3 linked regions of the Neurospora crassa OR74A genome follow. The protein of the gene in region 2 interacts with the protein of the main gene of each other region in a biochemical or structural test. Links are inferred from orthologs where the notes say so. Each region holds a gene or a part of one and is shown on either strand. Other genes may lie near its edges. The genes, in order: rco-1, rcm-1 and NCU02121.

Region 1 (7,417 bases), on a different chromosome or scaffold from region 2:
GAGGATGATAAGAACGACGATGAGGATAAGGATGACTTCTCTTCCGGACCGACACCACCAGTATCCGAGCAGAAAAAGAAAAAGAAAAGGAAGGCAGGAGATGACGGGACCGACATTGATGACATCTTTGCTTCGTTTGACAAGCCCAGCCAGAGAAAGAAGAAAGATAAAGCGGAGAAATCAGTTGTAGCTTCAAAGACCACAACCGTCACAACCTCGATAGCAACAGCTACAACAACAACCACGAAGGTGAAAACGACAACCGACTCATCGGTACCAACTACAACTACAACAACAACAACAACGCCAGCAGAAGCCGAAACACAACATGGCAAAGACGATCTTGACGACATTTTCGCTTCCCTCGAAAAGCCCAAAAAGAAAAAGACAAAGGTCAAGAAGACGGATGACCTAGATGACATATTTGCCTCGTTCGACAAGCCCAAAACGAAGAAGAAGAAAAAGAAGGCGGGGGCGGGAGCGGGAGCGGACGAGTTTGATGATATCTTTGGGGGGTTATGAAAAGGCGCTGCATAGTTGACTAGGCACCTACGTAGTATACTCACTCGCCTGTTATTGTTGGTGATGGGTATACCAGGTTTGTAGACACGAACGAGTAGCTCTGGATTGCTTCAAGTACAGTTACCAATTCGATGCATCTTGAGGTTTTGTTTGTTTCAAAGGCTACATGGTCATCGATAAGTGCTCGGTCCTTGCATTTGCCTCTCCCTTCTGGTTTTCTCATAGCAATACTATATCTATATACTACACCACCACGCTGTCACATTGTTTACTTGGCCCCTGGCAGCTTTCTAAGTGAACCAATCAAGAGAGGTCGAGTGAAGGCTTCAACACAAAGAGCAAGATAAATTGATCCGCTACTACTGACTGATTTGCTAGATATGATATCGGGAGACAATCTTGAACGAGCCAGCTTGAACATCGAACAAGACCCAGGATGGCCACGTCCTATGTTCTGCAATCGTCCTCCATCCATACCCAATAAACGAACGTGGGTCGTATCCCTCTCAGGCATGGCAATACGGCCTATTCCTACCCAACGTGTGCAAGTCCATAAGTCATAACCAAAAGGCATGTATCAAACAAAGGCCCAAGAAAAGGACGTGACCTTGGAAAAGCAAAACGGGATAAAACTTGAACTAATAAAATTTCTTTCTCGTTATTCCTTTCTGTTGTCCTTCCTAATTCATTTCAGAAATATCCTTGACGCCGTGTCCACATCACAATATCGACCAGGGAACACACTTTCTCCCTCTTCGTTCCTTCCTTGTATCGCTGATCTACTCTTTCCCTCTAGAATCCCAAAAATGATGGATTGGGTCGAATCTAGGGTTCGCATTGCAACTCCGCTGGTGTTTCTATATCCGAGAGTAAGACCAGATGCGGGCCCGCATATCACCAGATCCGGTAGCGAAGTACCCAACACCGTTGGGACCAGTCACTGGGCTGGGCGCCACGGAGATGACCGAGTTCTTGTGTCCCTGGAGCATGAGCTGTGTGTGGCCGGTACGGGGATCCCAGAACTGAACACCGCGGTCCTTGGAACCAGAGAGGACCCATTGCGAGTCAGGGGTCAGTGCAACGCTGAGGACGAAATCCTGTGACAAGTGATTGACACGTTAGCAAGATTGTAGAGGAATGGCCAATGGGGATATTAATGTGTAAACGTACTCTGTGGCCCTCGAAGGTCTTAATGCAGCGCCCACCCTTAGGAGGTGCCGAAGAAGGAATACCGCGCGGAGCACTAAGCTCCCACATTTTGATGGTCTTGTCCAAACTGCCGCTGACAAGGTTGCGGCCATCAGGAGAGAAAGCAACACTATAGACGCTGTCCTTGTGGCCGTCGGGGCCCTCAAGACGCTCCGCAAGGTAGCCTCTCATGTCCCAGACACGGACGCTCTTGTCCAGGGATCCGGCAGCAACGAATTGCTTGTCGGGCGAGATAGCAACAGTCGTGACACCATCTTCAATAGAGAGGACAGACGTGTTCTGCCCGGTTTCAATGTCCCAAAGACGGACGGTTCTATCACCACTGCCGGAAGCAATAGTGCGACCATCGCGAGAAAAGTCAAGACTGTAGATATCTTGTTCGTGGCCATGGAAGGTGTTACGAATGGTCCTCGACTGAATATCCCAGACCTATATCGAGCATGTTAGCAAGAGAAGACCACAACAGTTGGCTAAGGCATTGACACGTACTCTGATGAGCTTGTCCTCGGCTCCAGTGGCAAGATACTTGCCATCAGGGCTGAAGCAGACGCTTCTGATGTAAAGATCTCCAGTAAGATCGATGTTTTCGTCCTGCAGGATGCAAAGCTTCTCGCCAGTCTCCACGTCGTAGATCTGAGCGGAACGGTTGCAGCCCGTGGCAACGTACTTGCCATCCATGCTGAACCTCACGCAGCAAACAACGCTCTCATGCTGAAGAGTGTGAACCAGCTCAACGTCTAGTACCCTGGGAACGGCCGCGTTGAAGATAACCCACCAATCGTCCTTCATCTTCTTGATGTGATTCGGAAGGCGGTCGGGATCAAGCTCGCTCAAAGCGTTGGTCTGAGAAGGCGGAGGCGGAGGAGGCTGGTGGTGCTGAGCCATCCGGGTATGGTCCGGGGTAGGATGGGTTGGGACCTGGGGCGACTGAGCAGGGCCGCCGTTGTACGGGATGGGAGTGTTGATTTGAGGAGTAGCCGGGCCGCCAGCGGGAGGTCTGCCGATGCCACGCTTGCCGGCAGGGCCAGGAGAGGCAGTGCTCTGGGGCGGCTGGGGAGGAAAGTTACCAGGTCCCTGGGGCCCTTGATACTGCTGCTGGAAGGGAGGCTGCTGAGACGGCGGCGGGGGCGGGGGAGGAGGACCCTGCAGCCCAGGGGGCGCAGGCATATGTGCTGGCTGTTCTTGCTGCTGCGGTGGAGGGGGAGGAGGGACCAAGGCCTGCCCGCCCTGACCTGCCATGATCGCGCTAAAGACATTGCTTCCCAAACCAATAGCAGGGGGCTGCTGCTGGCCAGGATGCTGTGGAGGCGGGTTCATGTTGCCGGGAGCGCCTCCGCGGGCTTCAAGCTGGCGACGCAGCAGCGCAATCTCATCCTCGTACCTGGCCGGATATTGTCAGCCTACTTCTTTCGAGTCTCGGATATGCTTGACCGGGTTTTTTGTTTGACTGGCTTACTTTTGCTTTACGTTCATCTGGTGCTGCTCCATCTGGAAGACTTTCTCACGGATGACCTGAAGCTCCTGAAGCTGCGTTGCCACTATTGTCTGGTCAGCCGGGTACACGTCCCAAAGCCTAAGTCGCTGATCACAGGCCCGAAACAGCCCGCATCACCATGTACAGCTGGATTCCCTCGTTGCCAGATGGGAGGAGGATGGCCACCCAGCGGAGGGATGTGTGGAGAAACCCTTACAATCATGCTGGCAGGTCTCGTACTGGCGAGCTTGTGATTCGAATTCCATTCTGATGCCATCGAGGAGCTCGTTGAGGCGACCCATGTTCTGAATGGGCGCGCCCGCAATGGGTCGGTGCGGATACATGGACATTTTGCGTAGTTGGGGCGGTTGTCCGCGTGCTATGTTTTGGTGAAGCCGACGAGAAACGGACAGAAATCCAAGCCGGGAACGCTAGGGCGGTCGCGCAGGTTTGCGAAAGCTCAAGACAGCAATCGGCTGAAGGAAGCGAGAACGAGGGATGCGACCGATGATACAAAGGCGGCTGGCTCGTAAGATGACGCAGCTGGAGTGCAGCCGGCGTGAGGTCGGAACGAGCGTCGAGCTACCGTGCGTTGGGATGGCGTGCGCGCGGGACGGATCGCAGCGCGAAAAGACGCAAAAGATGGGGACCGCGAGGGGGGCTCGGAATCCCTAGTCGAATGGCACTGTACACAACCAAGGGCCAATGACGGGATCCGAGGGGTTGATGGGGATGGTGATGCTGGCGTTGCGCCAATTCCGATGTTTGTTGTTGGGAGGACTTGAGCGAAGCAGTTAGGGCTGCAGGCTGCAAATGCTGGTGTTGCTCCGGAGTAGTGTTGCCAAAGGGGGGAGGAGAAGGAAAAAGAAGTGGAATGGCCAGCAGGTGGCAGAAATGACCTGGGCGTGCGGGTTCTGGGGCGGCTCCCGGTGTGGATTCCCATGGACTTGCAGCCAGCGACACCACTCCCACCTCCAGCGGCTGCGGGCACTTGGGTCTTGGACTTCCTTCTTGGGAGGACAGGGAGGCGGGCTGCCGACGGGCTGCGGACAGGGCAGCAAGCTCGCAGTTCCACTTGTCAGCCTGTGGCCTGTGGAGGGTGGCACCGGTCACGCACTTAGTACCTACCTAGTGCATGTAGTGTACATCGGACGGAACGAAGGTACTTTCGTCGTATCTTGCGACCGAGAGGTACGTGGCTTCCTTTGATGTCGTCGGTAAACGGACAAGTCACTGAGCTTGCAAAGTGCTCCAGGCAGTACCTCGCATAGTACCTCGCATAGTCCATGAGCCACCCGCCATTGCTACGAGTTCCGACATGGATAGCAGGGTTTAGGGTTCCCTGTGTTACCTACCTAGGCGTAGAATATGGAATGGTAAGGCCAGAAGTGCGATTGTGGAGAGCATCTGCACAAGAGTGGATCTACGAGATTCTGGAGACCCAGTCGTCAGTGTTCGTGCGCCAGTTACGTAGAGGTGCCGCCCTGGTCACTGCTGTGATGGTTCCATTCCCGGAAAGCGAAAGAAGGTCGGCCCGGGTTGGGGGAGTGCATTGACGGACTCACCCCTCGATGTCTGCTCACCGCGTCCTGTGGTTGGGCTTTGTCACTTACGAGCACAAGGTAGCTGGTAGATGCACGTACGATTGTACACTGCACCTGTGTCAGCATAAAATTTGTTAGCGCGGTGATCTGTAGGTGGCGAGAACTTAATTTTCGTACAAGAGATGGCTAGCTTGACCACATCTAAGCCCCTATATACTGTCCGGTGGCGGTAGCGCGCTAACAAGTTTGCTGCCAGCAAAGGTGTACACAGTACATTGGAAACTCTTTCTTGCCTTTTTTCATCTTCCCAAGTTCGGATTGATCCAGGCGGGCAATCAGCGACGGGTATCCTGAGAGGCTACCTTTGCAAACAGTGACTACCTCTACTGCAAGTGTCGATAAGGAAAACATTCCCTTCATCCGTTGGTTTTTAAAACCAGGTGATTGCGAGGCGTCTGCCATTAGGCGCAAAACTCCAGACAAAACCACAGAGTGGTCTCCACGGCATTACGTACACTACAGTACCGTGGGGCAGAAACCATCGTCCAAGCGCTTACACATGCGGTTTTGAAACAATGCAAACCACTGCACAAACACAACCTCAACTCCCACTGCCACCGCGATGAATGCTACGGCATACAGCACACCATAACGCACTCGGTCTGCACGATATCGATTTAGCACCTCAATCAGGCATAGTTTTTGAGATGGACTTTGACCCTCAATATACAGGAACACAAACTCGCCTCCTTCAGACGACCTAGGTATCTTCTACGAACGCTCCCCCAGGTTCGGTTTTGCTTCATTTTGTGAGAGCTGCGGCCCGCTCAACGATGTGCAATCACGCGCGCCATGATGATCCGCTGCGTGGTGTATCTAATAAATATACACAAACTGCCAATTGGTCCAAAGCAGGAGTACGAACTAGGACCATTGCTTTCAACTTGTCCTGGCAATCTTCGAGCAACGTCAACTCACGAAAAACAATGACTTTCTGTTCTCGGTGAGTTGTCCTGTGCACCCTCTTACACACCTCTTGACCCGTTTCAGATCTGAGCAAGCGCACCACAACAGGAGACATCCATCGATCGCAGGTGTAGCCTTATGGAGCCACCCCGTCCCCTACCTTTCGATATCCCAGCGGCTATAATCATTGAAGCCTCAACAAACCCCGCTTGTAGCGCAGATAGCGACAGTAGATCCAGGTCTCTATCGACTGTGGCCAAGTGTACCTGGCTACCTGTCTTCGTTGGTTTAATCTTGTCATCGGAAGCGCATACATCACCTTCCCCTCTTTTGTGATGTGGTACCAAACCCGAACAAAACCAGTGAATCCGTCACCTCTATCTTCCTTCATGTTCCCTTGTACTTCCGCGCTCTGGTCCTTTTTTTTTTTTTTTTTTTTTGCGACTTGGTCAGGACCTCGTTCCTAGTTCAACCTCCGATGTCGAATGAACCGGCGGACAGACCGTATTTTATCCTCCAACGCCCAAATGTACTGGCTCCAGCCTGGCTACACAATCCAGCCACAAACAGGCTACTACGCGAGTCAGTAATGTGAAGGATCACTAAGGTTCTGACCAACACATGATTCTGCCTTTGCATGTCACACTGTCTCGTATATCTGGTGGTCCTTGCGTCAGGCTGGGTGTCGAGTACGAAGATAATTCCCATGTTTCAATCAACTGTTCAGCGATTGAATACTCGTTCAGTCGGTTTCTGTGGAGAGACCCTGAGCGATGTGTTGATGATATACGCCCCAGACAGTTGTTGCTTAGCTGGCTATGTCGCATGCTTCAACATTGCCTCGCTTCAAAGAGGCCATCATCTCACCCAGGCAGGGGGAAGTACCAGGAGCAGGTTGCATAGCGCAATGTATCCAGCTTCTGCCAGTGTTGTGGTTCGACAGAGAGTCCCTGCAACAGCCACATGTATACATTGTCCTCAGAGTGCTGATTGCCAGACAAGTGGATGTTCAGCTTTGGGAACTTGGGTTGACTGGACTCACCTTACCCATCCCATCGAATCAATCTGTTTCATCCGATGTCAATCCAGCAGTCGCTCCGAGGGGAGGTCAGAGCGGCACGTGGGTTGGGAAAAAAACCAATTCGGATCAAAGTTTGCCCACTTTACAACTTGCAACAAAGACGTTTTGATGGGAACATCGAATCTGATCAGCGCACTGACCCGATATGTCGAGTACATAGAGTGTATCCAGGTTCATTTGGATCTAATCTTATCAGATCTTACGGTGTGCGGGCCACACCATGCCGCTGTTGCCCCCTTTCTCTTTCTTCAGTTCTAAGCGAGCCCCGTATGCCCCGCTGAACGCCCATTGGGAAGGGCAAGTTCCTCGCCACAATCTTGAAACATTTCAATTTTGGATTGGTTGAGGGGTCAACGAAACAAGGGGGGGCACAGAAATTGCAGTCGAGTGATGAGTCCCAAGGTCAGGTAGGACCCGGAAGGGAGCCTTGACAGCTCGGCTCTCGGCTTCGGTAGCTCGGGGATGACGGTTTGGGAATCTGGAAGACTGTTTCAACTGGTTGCTGTTGTCTTGGCGTTGTTTCTCTAGTCATCAGCAGCCGCCATTCACTGCTGGATGCTATCAAAGCAATAATAAATTGTTCGTGCATGTTCGGTCAAAGATGAGGTCTTTTCACGAGGT
Region 2 (7,285 bases):
AAGGGAGATCATCGCTGGGTCGTCTGGTAGGGCAAGTCCTGAAAAGGGAAGGGAGTTGGGATGAAGCGTTCCCCAACCCAGGCGAATGGTAGGACAAAGAAAGTTATACTACATAGTAGAGCCGCTGCATCTAGTTGGATACCTAAGTACAGATCGGTATGGGAGTTGCCCGTCAGATCGAAAGTCAGTTCACCGCTCTGGTACGGAACCCGAATGGTGAAGAATGCTTGTCTGTTGGTGCTTGCCAACCGCCCGGCACCTGGCTGCAAAGGCCGAAGTGCCCAGGGAAGATTGCGGAAAGAGCGGGGTACATAGTTAAATGACGGCCGCACATGGAAGTGGTGTCGAGCCTCAGATGGACGAGTGGAACACAGGGACAGCTTCCACTTCCACTTTGATAAACTACTTGCTCGGATTTGGGGAAAGACCTGGACTTCAGTCTGTAATGACACTGCGGCACGAGTCAGGAACTTGAAGCAAAACGTAAGGGGGAGGAACATCACCTGCCTCCCATCATATACCTCCACCCGGCACTCATGCTGTTGTGCGTGACGGACGTGTTTTTTTTGGCTCGGTGCGGTGCCGATCCACGGAGCTATTGTGCGCGGGTGGCCCAGGGTTTTGGAAGCTTTCAGGATGCCTAGCCGGAAGAGTACGAGATGATCGCTGATGGAATGGCTTCACTTGTTCGATCTGCATCTAGGCACGTACCACCAACGCCAGCCAGGCTGGTAAACATGTTCAACCGCACCATTCACGCTTTCCCTTTGAATGGGATTGAGAGTGGATTCGTGCACTCATCTGGTCGTCAAGGAGTCTGTTGGTTGGATACCGATGGATGCTAGCCAGTGATAGTTCACTCGTCCATTCCATGTACCTTTGTTTCTCCTTTGACGGCAGTATGTGTCCGTTGTCGCACACTAAGATCAGGGCAATGTTCGATTATACTGCGTATAGTCAGTCTAGCCAGACGATCGGTTTGAAGGCCTGACGAGTACCATGGTGTGGGTGTGGTATTCCCTATGGACACTCCGAGTCCCAAGTTGGCTCCTGCCATTAATAGGTAGCTTTGACATTGTACAGTCATGGAAGATACCTACGATACCTTTAGGAAAAACTTTAACCGTGGGTGTTGCGTGCTTCTACAGATTCTCCCAACCACACACCCACGGTTATTATTTCTGTTGGTCAAACTGGGGTGCAAGCTAACTGACATTTTCGTCCAAGTTTTCCGTCAAACAAAAGAAAGTGATTCAGATGAAGACAAGGGTGAATGCTGCAGGTTTTTTTTTTTTTTTTTTTTTTTTTTTTTTTTTTTTTTTTTTTTTTTTGGTATTCCTCCTGTGTTGTCATGTGATGTATTTGCTTCTCGGAAGTCCCTCGGTAGATAAGGTAAGTAATGGCATGGACCTTACCTATTTGCCCATGTATCAGCATGTCTGATCTTGTACATCCGATGCTGGGTACGGATATACTGAGATTCATTGTTGCAGGTCAATGAATGCAAGCGTAAAATGTGAAAAACATTCACCCTTGACGCATCCGAAGTGAAAATGCGAGGTAGGCGTATGCAAGGCGGCTGGGAGATTCCGTCCCGTTGTTTTCCGGTCTTGAAGGGCCAGAAGCACGGAGGAGGCTAGACTGCAGCGGAGAGTACATCATATCTTCCAACATGGATGCATATGTCCTTGCCCTACATTGCTTCTTCCGCTCATCTATCTTGCGACCAGACCACATAAACTACGAGCACTCTCGCGCGATGCCTGTGTACGTACCTACTGCTGTAGCGGATGATGGGAGAAGTGGTGAGAACCCAGACTGTAAAGCCGCAAACCTGAGTTCCAACATCAAGACGGAACATATATGATAGACGGCCTGAAGACAAGCTGGCCATAGTAGTGACCTGAGTTTCGTTCGGAAGCTCTTGGGCCTCTTCATCTCGACGGCATGTGGGAGTAGGTTGCTCTCTTGGTCTTGGACCAGGGGCACCTTCCCTTACCCAGACCCCTCACTCTACTCGAGACTGTACACTATGCTACTGCCTACAGACTTAGGTTGGCGGCAAGGACTCCAACTCGTGTTGTTTTCGATGTCTTGGAAATCATAGGTAGCTCTACCATTCTATGCCGGCTGTCTGGATACCTACCTACCATGTCTGGATAATCTCTAGGCGTGATACATATTGCCTCACCTCTGCCTCTACATTCTCATCGTGGTTCCTTGGCCTCGGCCAGGGGCAACCCAACCGCACTACGGGCAACAAGGGTCAAGAGTCCAGCTACTATGTAGTAGGTAGAGGTAGGTTCCGTTAGTTGGCTCGTGCTCGTGCTCGTCGCTCCAAGTACATCGGTACCTAGGTAGGTACACGGCACTAGGCACCCCGACCCCGGTGCAGCCAAGTGGAAGTGGACGGAAGCACCCCTGTGCCCACCTCGCCCCGCCCCAATGTACCGCAACCTGCCACGACCTGCCAGCCGTAACCGGGCTGGGCTGCCTGTGCCGCCAGGGCCTTGTGCAGCGCGTGTGGGTCACTTATCTTGGCGCGCCGTATGACATGCGGCACCAAGCGGAACCGGGAGCAAATTCCAAACTTACCTAGCCAAAAGTACGTACACGACGCCGTGGGTTAGGGGAGTTTGCAAAAGTGGTCAGAACTCCCCGTTCAGCGAATCGAGCTGCTTCCTGGCCGCCTTCCCCATTGCCTTTAGATCGCCTCTTCCCCAGCCAATTTTGCCCTTCCCCCTTCCCCTTCTTTTTCTCCCGTCTCCCGCCGCCTTCGCTGCCTGCATCGCGCACGACTCTTTCTGCGCAAACCACCACCTTGGACCTGATTCCATCCCAACTCAGCCGGTGTACCCCCTTCACACCAGCCAGCCATTGCCGCGAGCAATAATTTTCGCATTGCTCGTCTCGTCCAAATCTCCATCTCGAACAAAAAAGAGAGCACGACGTCGCCATTCCGACCTCGGTAGCTTGGGCGCATCTTGTCCAACTATAAGAAGCTGCGACAGGCTGCCGCCCTCTCGTCGCCTTCATTCGCAATCAACTTTTCTCGGTTTTTGACAATCGCGTCCGCCCAACAACACACAAGAACCGGGCGCTTCATCGTCACGACCATTGCATTGCTGACGCCGTCGCCACGTATCGTTGTGGTCCAGCCGCCCAAAGAGCAGAAGCCTAACAATTTGGTTGGTACAGTCATCGTGACTGACTGCGCATCTTGACAACGGCCCCTGACACCACCCTGCTACCTACCTAGTACCTACATACTATCCCCGTAGCGTCCCCGGGAACAGCTGCATGGGATACCAAGGCTGTATTGCTATCGCCTTGTGAAACTTTGAATTCTACCTCTACTGTTAAGTTGGGTCGGCAGCGCTACATTGGCTTCCGCCCCCGCCTCTTCCAATTTCCTATAGTCCATCGAGGAGCAACACGCCATCCACGCGCTACTCCTGCAACATCGCCCAAATGGCAAACCACCACCCTTCCCCTACGATGCAGATGCAAATGCATCACGGCCCGCCAGGGCCCCCAGGTCCACCGCCGGCGTCGATTCCTTCATGGAATCAACAGCGGCAGGCCTTTATGAGCTTGACCGAGAATGTGTGGATCGGAATCGGTATGTGCTTCCCACGCCGTTGTTGGCTGCCTCTTTAGGCTATTTTGTATGATGCTAATTTAGCAATCATGGTAGGTTCCGTGTCCGAGCTCATGGGGAACCACAACGAGGCACTAGAGGCTTATGAAAGGGCTCTTGCAGCCAACCCCAACTCTGTGACTGCTATGAATGCCGCCAGTCTCGTCCTTAGGACGCGCGAGGACTTCCCCAAGGCGTCGGAATATCTGCAGAGGATCCTAAAGATCGAGCCTGCAAACGGTGAAGCATGGGGCAGCCTCGGTAAGCAGCCCCCTATTCGCCACGTATATTTCAATAAATTCGGGTCCTAACTGTTGGTGTCTAGGACATTGCTTTCTCATGATGGAGGACCTCCAACAGGCATATGCTGCGTACCAAGCGGCCTTGGTTAACCTTCCCAACCCAAAGGTGCGTGCATTTGTACCTCTTGGGGTGCCTCTTTTCAGAATTGACAACGGTTTGGCTAACTGTCTGTTGATTGCAGGAACCGAGGCTTTGGTATGGCATAGGTATTCTTTATGATCGCTATGGCTCTTTGGACCATGCAGAGGAAGCATTCTCGCAGGTCATGGCCATGGACCCCAACTTCGACAAGGCTCATGAGATATATTTCCGTCTCGGCATAATCTACAAGCAACAGCATAAGTACCAGCAATCGCTTGATGTAAGTCGACAGCATTGTCTTGATAAGATCGGCATGAGACAGCCAGCTTACTCGTCAACAGTGCTTCAGATACATTGTCAACTCTCCTCCTACTCCTTTGACCGAAGAGGATATCTGGTTCCAGATTGGTCACGTCCATGAACAGCAAAAAGACGTAAGTCTGCTTTGCATTTTATACTTCTTTCCTCGACTCTTAATCCTGACGTTGTGGCAGTATGATGGTGCCAAGCAAGCCTACGAGCGAGTGCTGCAACGTGATCCAAAGCACGCAAAGGTCCTTCAGCAGTTGGGCTGGCTGCATCACCAGCAAAGTAATTCAGTCGCCAGCCAGGAAAAGGCAATCGAGTACCTGAATCAGTCCGTTGCAGCTGGTAAGTTTCGATGCATTTGGCTTCTTCATGCACCTATACTGACATAATCCAGACCAAACCGATGCCCAAAGCTGGTACTTGCTCGGTCGTTGTTACATGCAACTTCAAAAGTACCCTAAGGCATACGAGGCTTATCAGCAAGCTGTTTATAGGGATGGCAGGAACCCTACGTTCTGGTGCTCGATTGGTGTGTTATACTACCAGATCAACCAGTATCGTGACGCCTTGGACGCCTATTCCAGGGCCATCAGGCTCAACCCCTTCATTTCTGAAGTTTGGTATGACCTTGGCACTTTGTATGAGTCTTGCAACAACCAGATCAGCGATGCTCTGGACGCTTATCAACGTGCCGCCGAACTGGATCCCAACAACCCGCATATCAAGACCAGATTGCAGCTCCTCCGAAGTGGGCAAGCTAATGGCGGCGCACCCCCGGGGTCAGTCCCGATGCCCACTGATATCCACCCCCAGACGTATAATGCATCCGGTGCGGTTGGTCCTCCGGGCCCTCAGTGGGCGGGCTCAGGCTCAGGCCAGCCTCCTCATCAACCGCCTCAGCCGATGCACAACGGTGGCCCTGGCCCGGGCCAAGGGGCCAACTCGTGGGGTGGAAGAATTTCCGACATTAACCCTCCTCCCCAGCCGCCGAACCCATATGCCTCGGGTCAAGACCGGGAGCCCTTTCGTGGTCCCGCTCCGCCGCTTCCCAGACAGCCCAGCCCGCGACAGGAGCAGCAAATGAGGCCTTATCAGGAGGCCAGGGCGCCCGAGCCGCTCAGAAGAGGACCTACCCCTCCCCAGGCTCATTACGCCCCTCCACCCCCTCCACCTCCGCAACAACCGCACCAGCCGCACCCGCAGCAACAGCTTCAGCAAGGACCTCAACCTACTCGGGAAGGGGGTAGTGGTACTAGAGTGAGGAACCCGAACTACGCTAATCCCCAGAACGTGGTCCCTTCCAATTCTGGTCCTGGCCCAAACGGCCCTCCTCCTCCAAACGCAATGATGCATTTTAACAACAGTCCGAGGACTGATGGAAGACCACCCCACATGCACGAGAACCGCATGCCGTCTCCCAAGTCCGCCTATCCTCAGCATCAGCCGCCGTACCCTCCGCATGGTGAGCAGGGCGGTCCTGGTGGCCCTGAGCCAGGCCCTCCTCACCCCCCTCAGTCAGGTATGGCTGGTGAACCTCCTCATCAGAGGGAGCATGATCCCCGCCCTCCTTCGGTTGGCCCCAAGAGAATGCGTGAGTGGGAAGACGACCGGGAGGTGAAGAAGCCTGCGACGGAGGAGACTCGCGTCCGTATGGATGACCATAGGCACCGCCGCCCCTCGATGACCCCGCCCCGAATGGAGCCGCCCTATGCTCGTCGCAACTCGTCGGAGGCTCGTCGCTTCGACGAGCGTCGTATGGAAGATTCCCGTAGGGTTGAGGAGCAGCGCCGGGCTGAGGAACAACGTCGCATGGAGGACATGCGCCGGGCTGAGGAGCAGCGGCACCAGAACGAGGGATACCATCCTTCGGAGGCCGCTCATCATCCCCAGTCTCATTCCGCCCCTGCCCATTTGCCGCCGATGCAGCAAGGTTCGGCTCCGATGCAGAACCTCATCCACGAGCAAGGCCACGGACCCCAGCAGCCAGTCCCCGGACCTCAGCAGCAAGGCCCAGGCCCAGCACATCAGCCCGCCCCCGAAGACCGACGGATGGACCATCCTCCAGCCCAGCACCCCCCCATCGTCAATGAGCCTGAGCGTGCGGCCCGTAAAATGGACGTTGACGAGGACTATGACGATAGCGGAGAGGAGGACAAGAAGGGCGGAATTATTCCCGGTCCTTCCTCCGGATCCGGCCCTGCAGCAAACGAGTCCAAGAACGGAGCCTCAACGAGCGGTAGCTTCAACGGCATCATGGGACAAAAGTCAGAAAGCAACTGATTACATCATCTGCCGTGTACCTCGAGCTTCTGCGCGAGAGACAAGACCCAGTGTATCTGCTTATAATACGGCAGAGGTAGGAGAACCCAAGATCCTGTCGATGTCATAATGGTTTTGCTTATGGATGGGAATGTACGTCGACTTGTTCGTTTTATGTGGTTTGAAAGAGTGGTCATCATTTCACACACATGGATGATGGAGACAGAAGGACCTGTGAAGCTCAAGATCTCATGGGTGCGAAATGCACTATTTTACCACGTTTTGACTGACCGGTAGGAGATGAGGAGGGAGAGGAAGGAGCGGATTCCGATGTACATACATTATTATGACTTGTGTTTGGAATAGAAGCGTGTGCATGTCATCTGTTGGAAAGTCGACAGCGAGAAGGGAATGGGAATATCCTCAAGAGGCGGAAATGAACTCGCTGCTTTGCCATAGAGGCCAGTTAGAGAACATGATTACGATTGTCGTTACACTCTTGGGATCGTAATTGCAACGTCGTGATCATTCCCGCACGGGATACGGTGTTATTGAAATGGCTGAACGGCGCCTCAGCCCGAAAAGTCAAGGAGATGACAGCTAAGTGTAGTGCTTTCGTGGTTATCCCTTGTAACCAGTACGCCTTTGACCATGCATGTCCGCCTAATCATGTAATCATGTTAAGCCAACCCA
Region 3 (7,294 bases), on a different chromosome or scaffold from region 2:
GAAAAGAAAAGTTTGAAGGCGTGTAGTTGAACGTTGGACGGATGATACATGTACGGCGATGAATTCGACACGATAATGATTTAATAGCATAGCATGAGCATGAGCAGGCATGGCATAGTACGAGCATAGCATCAAAGGCCAAATAACAACGAGAGAGCATGATGGTTGATACCCACACACGAACGAAATAGCATCATGGCAAAATAAACCTAGGTGATGAAATTCTTGAAAACTCTATACTCCGTTATCAATGATACCCACGCCGTCCTAGGTACTACCAGAACCAATTATCCTGTTTAAACCCAAAAAAAAAAAAAAAACGCCCCAATAAATGCATCGCTGGCCTCACCACCCATTCGCCCACGTCGTCAGTAGGTGGAAGGGAGGATACAGCTATCCCGAGTACTCTCGATATAAAACTTCGAAAGCATCCAATCATCGCAAAAACCTGCCTAATGATAGCACCGTTCTGCCCGAGAAAACACCAAGACAAACGAAAGTGGAAAAGAAAAAAGAAACCCAAAATCGAAAACGTGCAAGTTATCATCAGCCTTTATCCGACGTAATCCATGCCACATGCACATCAAGTATAACATCCATTATCCGCTCATTGTATCACACTGTATACTCCTGCTGCCACTTGACCAACCTCCGGGTCAAGCTGTCCATCATCTCCACGCAGCTGAGGTCCTTGAAATCCTTTCCTAGCTGCCCTTCTGAAGTCATGACAGCGGCTGGGGTCGAGCAATTGACCCCGAGTATGCCTGTTGCCGACCCTGGCTTTTCACAGTCAGTTGCTAACTGTGGTGCGACGCTGTTGCCGTTCGTCTTGTCATCATCCGATGGTGACTCGCCAGCAAGCTCAACTTGGGTTCGCGAAATGAAGTCAAGGAGTGCTGCGGCCCTCCTCTTCATGTCAGTCATGGTGATCTTGCTGTTCATCCCACCCTTATTCTTCCCTTGTTTTCCGTGTCCAGTAGCCTTCTCTTCGGCCTTACTTGGCTTCGGAGGAGGCGGTACTTCAGCTGGTGCCTCCCCTGACTGTGATCTTGCAGGCGATGGCTCGTTGTCATCACGTGTGTATTGATTGCGACCCTTCTTCTTATGTGATCGCTTCTTCTCAATCTTGGCTGTGGGAGTAGCTGCAGCGGGAGGGTCTTCCGGAGTGGACTGTGAGGCAGGAGGGGGTTCGGGTACCGCTGGTGATTGTTCTTCTTGTTCTGCCGGTTCTTCCGCAGCGGCAGGGGTAGCCATAGTAGTGGTAGTAGTAGTCGTTGTAGTGGTCACGGCGGTGGCGGCTGCGACCGGTGTCGTTGTAGCGGGCGTCTTGTTCACTGCCGCACGAGCTGCTAGTGGTAACTCGTCCGAAGGGTCTGAATCTGTATCTGTGTCAATTCCAGATGCCTTCGCGAGAGTCGTGGCTTTCGTACCATCAGCTCGCCGGCGCTCAGCTCTACCCTTTCGCTTGTTTGCTGCCTCAGCCCTTTGTCGTTCGCGTTCTTCTTTTTCAGTTGTCTTCTCGGTGCGCAGAGTGCGGCCTGCTACGCCGCCCCGCGATCTAGACTTTGCACCATTCCGCGTTGTTGTGCCGGCGTCGTCAGAGTCCTCAGTGGTCTTGTCAAGGCTAGGAGAGGCCGATCGAGAGCTCGTCCTCTGCCTCTTGTTTTCTGACTTTCTTGAAGAGGGTTAGCGGTTATTGATGTCGGGCAGCGTAGGACGTGGACCTACTCTTCGCTATCGCTTCTGCCTCGCTTTGTTCTTCTCGTGGTAGTTTCGGGTTGTTCAGAAGCTGCATCTTCTTTGCTTGCTTCAATCGCCCGTCTCAGGGCTTCAGCTTCGTCGTAGTCAGCGCCTCGGCTGTTCATTGTAGATCTTCGCTTCGACGCGGAGGAAGTGGTCGTACCACGTCCGTTGCGGCCCTCCGGTTTATCTTTGGGCGGTGATCTCGTGCCATCCTTGTTGAGAGAGGCGGATCTAGAAGTGGTTCGAGAGGGGCGCTTAAGGGGTAGGTAGTGCGAATAGCGTTGTCTGTGAATCATGTCGTCAGTCGACTGGAGAGTGATTTGACAATTGTCGTGGATGGAGGAGGATATTGCATGAAAGGTGAGGCAACGTCAAAGGCGTGTGATGGGCTTTGACGCACTCCAGCTGAACTTTTGACGTTCAGCTCCCGACCATGCAGCCACGGGACCAAAGAAATGCAAGATTTACCCGTTGCTCGCTGTGAAAATTTTGTGGAATTCTTTGCGGCACTCTTCGCAGAAATATTCGTCTGGGCTTGACTCTTCGGTCATAATGCCAACGCAGGCGCCATGTTGCCAGACCTTGCAAATGTCGCATTGTACGAAAAATCCGGCCGCATCGTCGGTGACATCGGTCGCGAATATGGGATCGATATCCATGCCGTCCTTCAAGCCATGCTTGGAGTCTTCGTCAAACGGCGGAGGGCCTGGGTAGTCCTCGTAGCCGCAAATGCAACGAACGGCCTCGTCCTCGTCTTGAGCGTCATCGTCGCCGTGTGCCATTTCGACCTGCTCAGACTTGTTATTTGCCCTCTCTCTTTCTTCCTGCTGACCGCGGGTACGACGCCGGGTACCAAACGAGTCGTCCGCTGTAATTGTCTCGTCTGGAGCCTCAGAGGATAGCGATCCCGAGGAGCTTGACTTTTGTGGTGAGACAGCTTTGTTGAAATACCTGGTGCTGCGCTCACCACGACCTGACGTGCTGGACGTGCTGGACGAGATTTGCGATTGTGATTGGGAGGTTCGCGCTCTTGACGACCGCCTCGGATCGGACCCTGCCATTGCTTGCAGCTGGGGCCGCAGTCAAGGCAGGAGCTCGAAGTATGTAGGGTATATAATCGACACGATTGGTGTCGAAGAGAAGAACGCGATCCGCAGGCCCGTTGGGAGGGGGTTCTGCGGTCGGGTATCCGGAGTGCCTGGGGACAATGACGCACCCTAGCACTAAAACAATTTCGTTTTACTTGAAGCTCGACAATTGCGATGTGGATGGTCGGAGAAGTAATGGGGCGTGATGGCGGGAGCAGACCCGAATCACGCGGTCGTCTGTCGATGTGGTCACGGAGAAGCGAGGACTCGACGAGGCCGAGTCTCGACCGCAAATTGAATCTGACACAATCGTCGAGTAAAGATGCAATCGAAGGTGTCGAGGTTATGAGACTCGTGCTAGGTTCGAATCGTAGCTTGAAGCCGGTGCTTGGTGGTAGAGAAGCGTAAATTATCGAGGATGGATCGACCGACGGCGGAGGATCGCGAGGGCTCAGGTCGAAAATCCAGCCAAGTGAGGAGGGTGCTCGATCGGGGGCGTGCTCGAGATGAGGATGTCGCCGGCTTGCTTGTGTAAATGTCCACGAAAGCAAGACTCGTTCGCTGCTAACTTGGGTAAAAGATTGAGCGGGTACGAGGGTGGGAAAAAAAACGAAGAAGAGGGGACGGAGGACGGCGAGACGAGATGTCTATGACGGGATCCGAAGTGCTGGCTACGCCAAATTGGAGATCGGGGAGCGGTGGTCGACGTGGTAGGTGGGTGGTAAACTATTTCTCATGACGGAAATAACAAAGTTCGACAAGTCGGGTTTTCGTGTCTGTGGCCCAGGGTGTACGTGGTGAGGATTTCCAGAAAAGAGGAGAGCGAGGACGGCACTGCCTGGAAGGAGGAAGCGATGGCTGGTCTCTCTTGGTGTGTGTACAATGGTGGAAACCGAGCCCGGGACCTAGTCGAGTTGCCAGCCCCAAAAAAGACGGGACCACCGCACCGCACCACGGCACCACGATGCACCACCACCACCACCACCACCACCACCACCAACCCGACACGGCGCTCTTGCAGTTGCTTGCAGTAAATTTTGGCAGAAAGCTGTCCGCCCGGGCACCCACTCTGGCTGCCGCCCACCCACCCACCAACCCCGGTCTGATCCCGTCCGTCACTCAGGCACCTCCTCACTCCTCCTCACGGTAGCGGCAGTGGCAGCGCCAAAGCGTGCGGGGCCATCTGGAAGCTCGGTCCCCATGTTGACCAATCCGGTGCCGGGAAAAAGATAATGGGCCAGCTCGACCAGGATATCAATGATCTCTGGGATGCGGCGTCGAAAGCCGGCTTGTCGATGCTGTTCAGTTTCCAGAGACGAGTAGATATAGTTTGATGTAAGAAAGTCGTATGCATAGGTATGTAGAGGCCGTAGAGTGGTGAATTACTGGTACCGTCCGTCGGGGAGGGTTCGTGCTATGACATCACGCCTCAATAGGTGAAGCCCGTGTCCAACCTGGACCGACAAGAGAATAAGGGGCATCTTGAAAACCGAAAAGGGTTTGAAGTGAAATGTGGTTCAAACAAACATCGATGGTGGAAGACAACGAAACTCGTTGTTGCACACAAGGGGAAATTATTTGGGGTAATGGGAACCTGAAGGGGAGGCGGGGGTTCGGTTCATTGCTCGCTGCAGGTCGGGTCTGGTTCAGGTTGTTGTCGAGTTGAGCAAAGCTTTCCAAGTGAAATTGCACCTACCGTCGTCGAATGGGTCTCGTTTGCTTCTCAAAGGGAAAATGGCAGTACATGGTGTTGTCAGGGCGGCATCAAATCAGATGCAACTACCTATGAATGGCACCGGCACCGCAGTGTTCTGCCTGTGATGGAAAACGCTTGGCTCTTGCTCGAATACTGTACTAGTACTAGTGTAAGCACAGTGCGTCCGGCATTCAGGAACCGCCGCCCACAACCCGGCCTCCATTCAGGTCGCTTTCAATGTGAGTGTGCACGGCGATGATTATGGTAAGTAGAGACAGAGAGACTTGCCCACCCAGAAAGAAGCTCGGTTGCTGGGGAAGTCAAGCCAAGGTACACTAGCTGGTACCTAGAGGTAGTTAATGGGTCAACATCAGTCGACTCGGTACTTCCCCATGATCTTCCAATTGGATTTGGGAAATCGAAAAACGTACAGGTAGCTCAGTACAGTAGCTAGAGAGGTCACGGTATGGAAATTCAGCATCTCACTTGGGGCTGTTCCTTGGAGTCTCCAGTAGTGTACCCGTGGGAACACCAGTATGCTCGACGGTTCGTGATTGCTGTCGGCCTCTAGGGTATCATTATTGGGTGATCTCTCAGTTTCCGTTGATCTCTCCATGTTGGGGAGAGACCCAATGCCATGCGTGAGGCTATTCACTCGGATGGGAACCGGAAACCGAATGGAGGCTCCCCCGGCCGGGAACTACAAGTGGAAGGCGGGGGCGGAACAGCGGGTGTACTTCTAGGTTCTGGCAGCATGGCAGGCAGCGGCATTGGGTCACCGACCTCTGGCTGCCCTCTCCTCAGAATCACAGCCCGAAACCCGCGCTGTCCAGACGACCAACTGCAGTGAGGTGGTTAAGGACGGGATGCTTACATAATGCAGCCAAGGGTGCGTCGATTAGGTCCCGCCTACCATCCCGCCCGCCCTCACTACAGTGAACACCCGCTTCTCCTAATCACAACCACTGAACTCCATTGCTTTCCACCCCTCAACACCACTGCACCGATACACGACACCCGTCTCACTGACTCGGGCAAAGTGCTGGTTTGAGTTGGCTTCTTTTGTTTTGGCCTTCCTATAGCTCTCCCCCGAGTTTGCCTGCAACCTGGCCACCGGATATCCGCACGAGCCAGATTCGAGCCAAGAAGGTGGGTGCTTGTGATTAGCAGCTGATTGTCCCCTCAGTTGTATGGCTTCATTTCCCCCCCCCCCCCCCCCCCCCCCCCCTCCCCCTTCTCGCCGCCTTCCCCGCCATGCTGTTTCATTTGTCCCTTGGTGTGGTATCCCGACGATTCAGGAAGTTCTTGCTATGATAGACGATGCGGTGGCAACTTGGGGAGAAAATATTTCATCTACCGGTCCAGGCATAAACAACGAGAACACAACTGCCATGGCGTTTCCCCTCCTTTTCCCAAGGCTTCGGTGCTGATGAGTCTTTTTGGGCAGAAAGGGATACATCCAAAGCGACGTCGGCGCCTTCGTTTCCTTCCACTTGTATTCCCAAGGTGTTCTCCGGATCACAGAACTTCCACAATCATACGGATTATAGCAGCCTGGGAATCCCCTCGGGTTGACGCATATTCCGTGTGAAGTGCCTCGGCGGCTGGCGCTCCTTCGAAAGTTGATAGCATCTTGTCTTGGGTACTATGTAATATCCTGAAGGTACGTTCGTAGGCACGCGCCTTCCACGTTGCGATTCTTGGATTTCTTTCCAAGGCCACTTCACAGAACTACGCGGCATGAACAAACGACCTCTTCTTCAGTCGAGTCCGCCCAAGTCCCCTCCCGTCCTAACCCCGCGCCTCTCTTCTGTCCTCGCCCTGCACTCGGCCTTTCTTCTCGTCCCGCCATTCTTTTGTTGTTGCTGTTCAGTCAGTGTGGCACCAATGCTAGCCTTCTTAAATGACTTCTTCCCAATCATCAAATGGCTTTCATTGCTGTTGCTAATTCGTTTGCATTTGGCTTCTGACAGAGCACACGAGCAAGTCACAAGAATGTCCTCCGCCGATACGGTGTCGGTGTCGCCCGCATATCGAAGCGAACGGAGAATCCATCCACTGCCCAAGAGATCACTCAGAGACCGTTTAACCCCCGAAGCCGCGGAGTCGATTCAATACCCCCCAGCTCCTTCGATCTCTACGTCCTTGTTCCCGAGTCTGTATAGTATCCGAGATGACGAACCAGACCAGACTTCGACTCCCCCTCGCGAGCGACTCACCGAGGCTGCCCCGCGCCAGTCAAGAAGAGATGGTCCACTAGCAGAAAGTGGGGGATATACTGCTGCGTCGAGACAAGGCATACCGGAGCGCGGACACAGCTTGCTCGATGACGGGATCTCTGATCCATCGAACCGCAAGGGTCATCAGTCACCGAGGACTGAAAATGAAGAGAGATCGGTCAATTCGCAAGCTACTGTCTCCGCGGCATCAGCAATCGATGGCTATGACTCCTTCGAAAACACAAACAATAAGAAAAAGAGGAAAATCCCTACGGCGGGTGATGCAGCTCTTGGCGGGGTTCATGTTGGCATAGATGCTGGCTTCGGAACCACATCTGTTCAGGCGTCTGAAGGTCATGGGGAAGCCACGTCTTCGAGCTCGGCGTCTCAGTATGGTTCCGGGGGTTATATGCCAGGCTTGCAGAACGTGCCTGGTCCTGGAAGAGGTAGATATGGCAGACCGCGCAACGGCAGAAGCCCGCTCAGGCCCTTGTCGGACTCGAACACCAACTGGCCCGGAAGAGGCGGGAAGCTGCGCTCTGTTCCAT

Evidence for each region.
Region 1: the proteins of rcm-1 (region 2) and rco-1 form a complex in vitro, tested with the Saccharomyces cerevisiae proteins (6 studies listed by BioGRID). The link is inferred for Neurospora crassa OR74A from reciprocal best matches to the Saccharomyces cerevisiae genes CYC8 and TUP1.
Region 3: the proteins of rcm-1 (region 2) and NCU02121 form a complex in vitro, tested with the Saccharomyces cerevisiae proteins (3 studies listed by BioGRID). The link is inferred for Neurospora crassa OR74A from reciprocal best matches to the Saccharomyces cerevisiae genes CYC8 and CTI6.

What each region holds. Positions count from the first base shown.
Region 1 is NC_026503.1:1,903,377-1,910,793, forward strand, and holds rco-1 (transcriptional repressor rco-1), read right to left. Parts: upstream 4,076-7,417; 5' UTR 3,556-4,075; coding exon 3,423-3,555; intron 3,270-3,422; coding exon 3,188-3,269; intron 3,113-3,187; coding exon 2,221-3,112; intron 2,161-2,220; coding exon 1,693-2,160; intron 1,620-1,692; coding exon 1,380-1,619; 3' UTR 845-1,379; downstream 1-844. Other genes in the region: NCU06204 (hypothetical protein), read left to right, coding at 1-522. UniProt on the Saccharomyces cerevisiae protein: Acts as a component of the CYC8-TUP1 corepressor complex which is involved in the repression of many genes in a wide variety of physiological processes including heme-regulated and catabolite repressed genes.
Region 2 is NC_026502.1:1,787,235-1,794,519, reverse strand, and holds rcm-1 (RCM-1, variant), read left to right. Parts: upstream 1-2,711; 5' UTR 2,712-3,188; exon of another isoform or gene 3,189-3,259; 5' UTR 3,260-3,471; coding exon 3,472-3,622; intron 3,623-3,697; coding exon 3,698-3,901; intron 3,902-3,965; coding exon 3,966-4,048; intron 4,049-4,124; coding exon 4,125-4,304; intron 4,305-4,365; coding exon 4,366-4,458; intron 4,459-4,518; coding exon 4,519-4,675; intron 4,676-4,727; coding exon 4,728-6,613; 3' UTR 6,614-7,087; downstream 7,088-7,285. Other genes in the region: NCU06841 (hypothetical protein), read right to left, coding at 712-739. UniProt on the Saccharomyces cerevisiae protein: Acts as a component of the CYC8-TUP1 corepressor complex which is involved in the repression of many genes in a wide variety of physiological processes including heme-regulated and catabolite repressed genes.
Region 3 is NC_026501.1:1,172,265-1,179,558, forward strand, and holds NCU02121 (transcriptional regulator), read right to left. Parts: upstream 4,243-7,294; 5' UTR 2,805-4,242; coding exon 2,212-2,804; exon of another isoform or gene 2,040-2,211; coding exon of another isoform or gene 2,029-2,039; coding exon 1,729-2,028; intron 1,676-1,728; coding exon 1,431-1,675; coding exon of another isoform or gene 1,380-1,430; coding exon 616-1,379; 3' UTR 212-615; downstream 1-211. Other genes in the region: NCU10232 (hypothetical protein), read left to right, coding at 6,523-7,294. UniProt on the Saccharomyces cerevisiae protein: Component of the RPD3C(L) histone deacetylase complex (HDAC). Responsible for the deacetylation of lysine residues on the N-terminal part of the core histones (H2A, H2B, H3 and H4).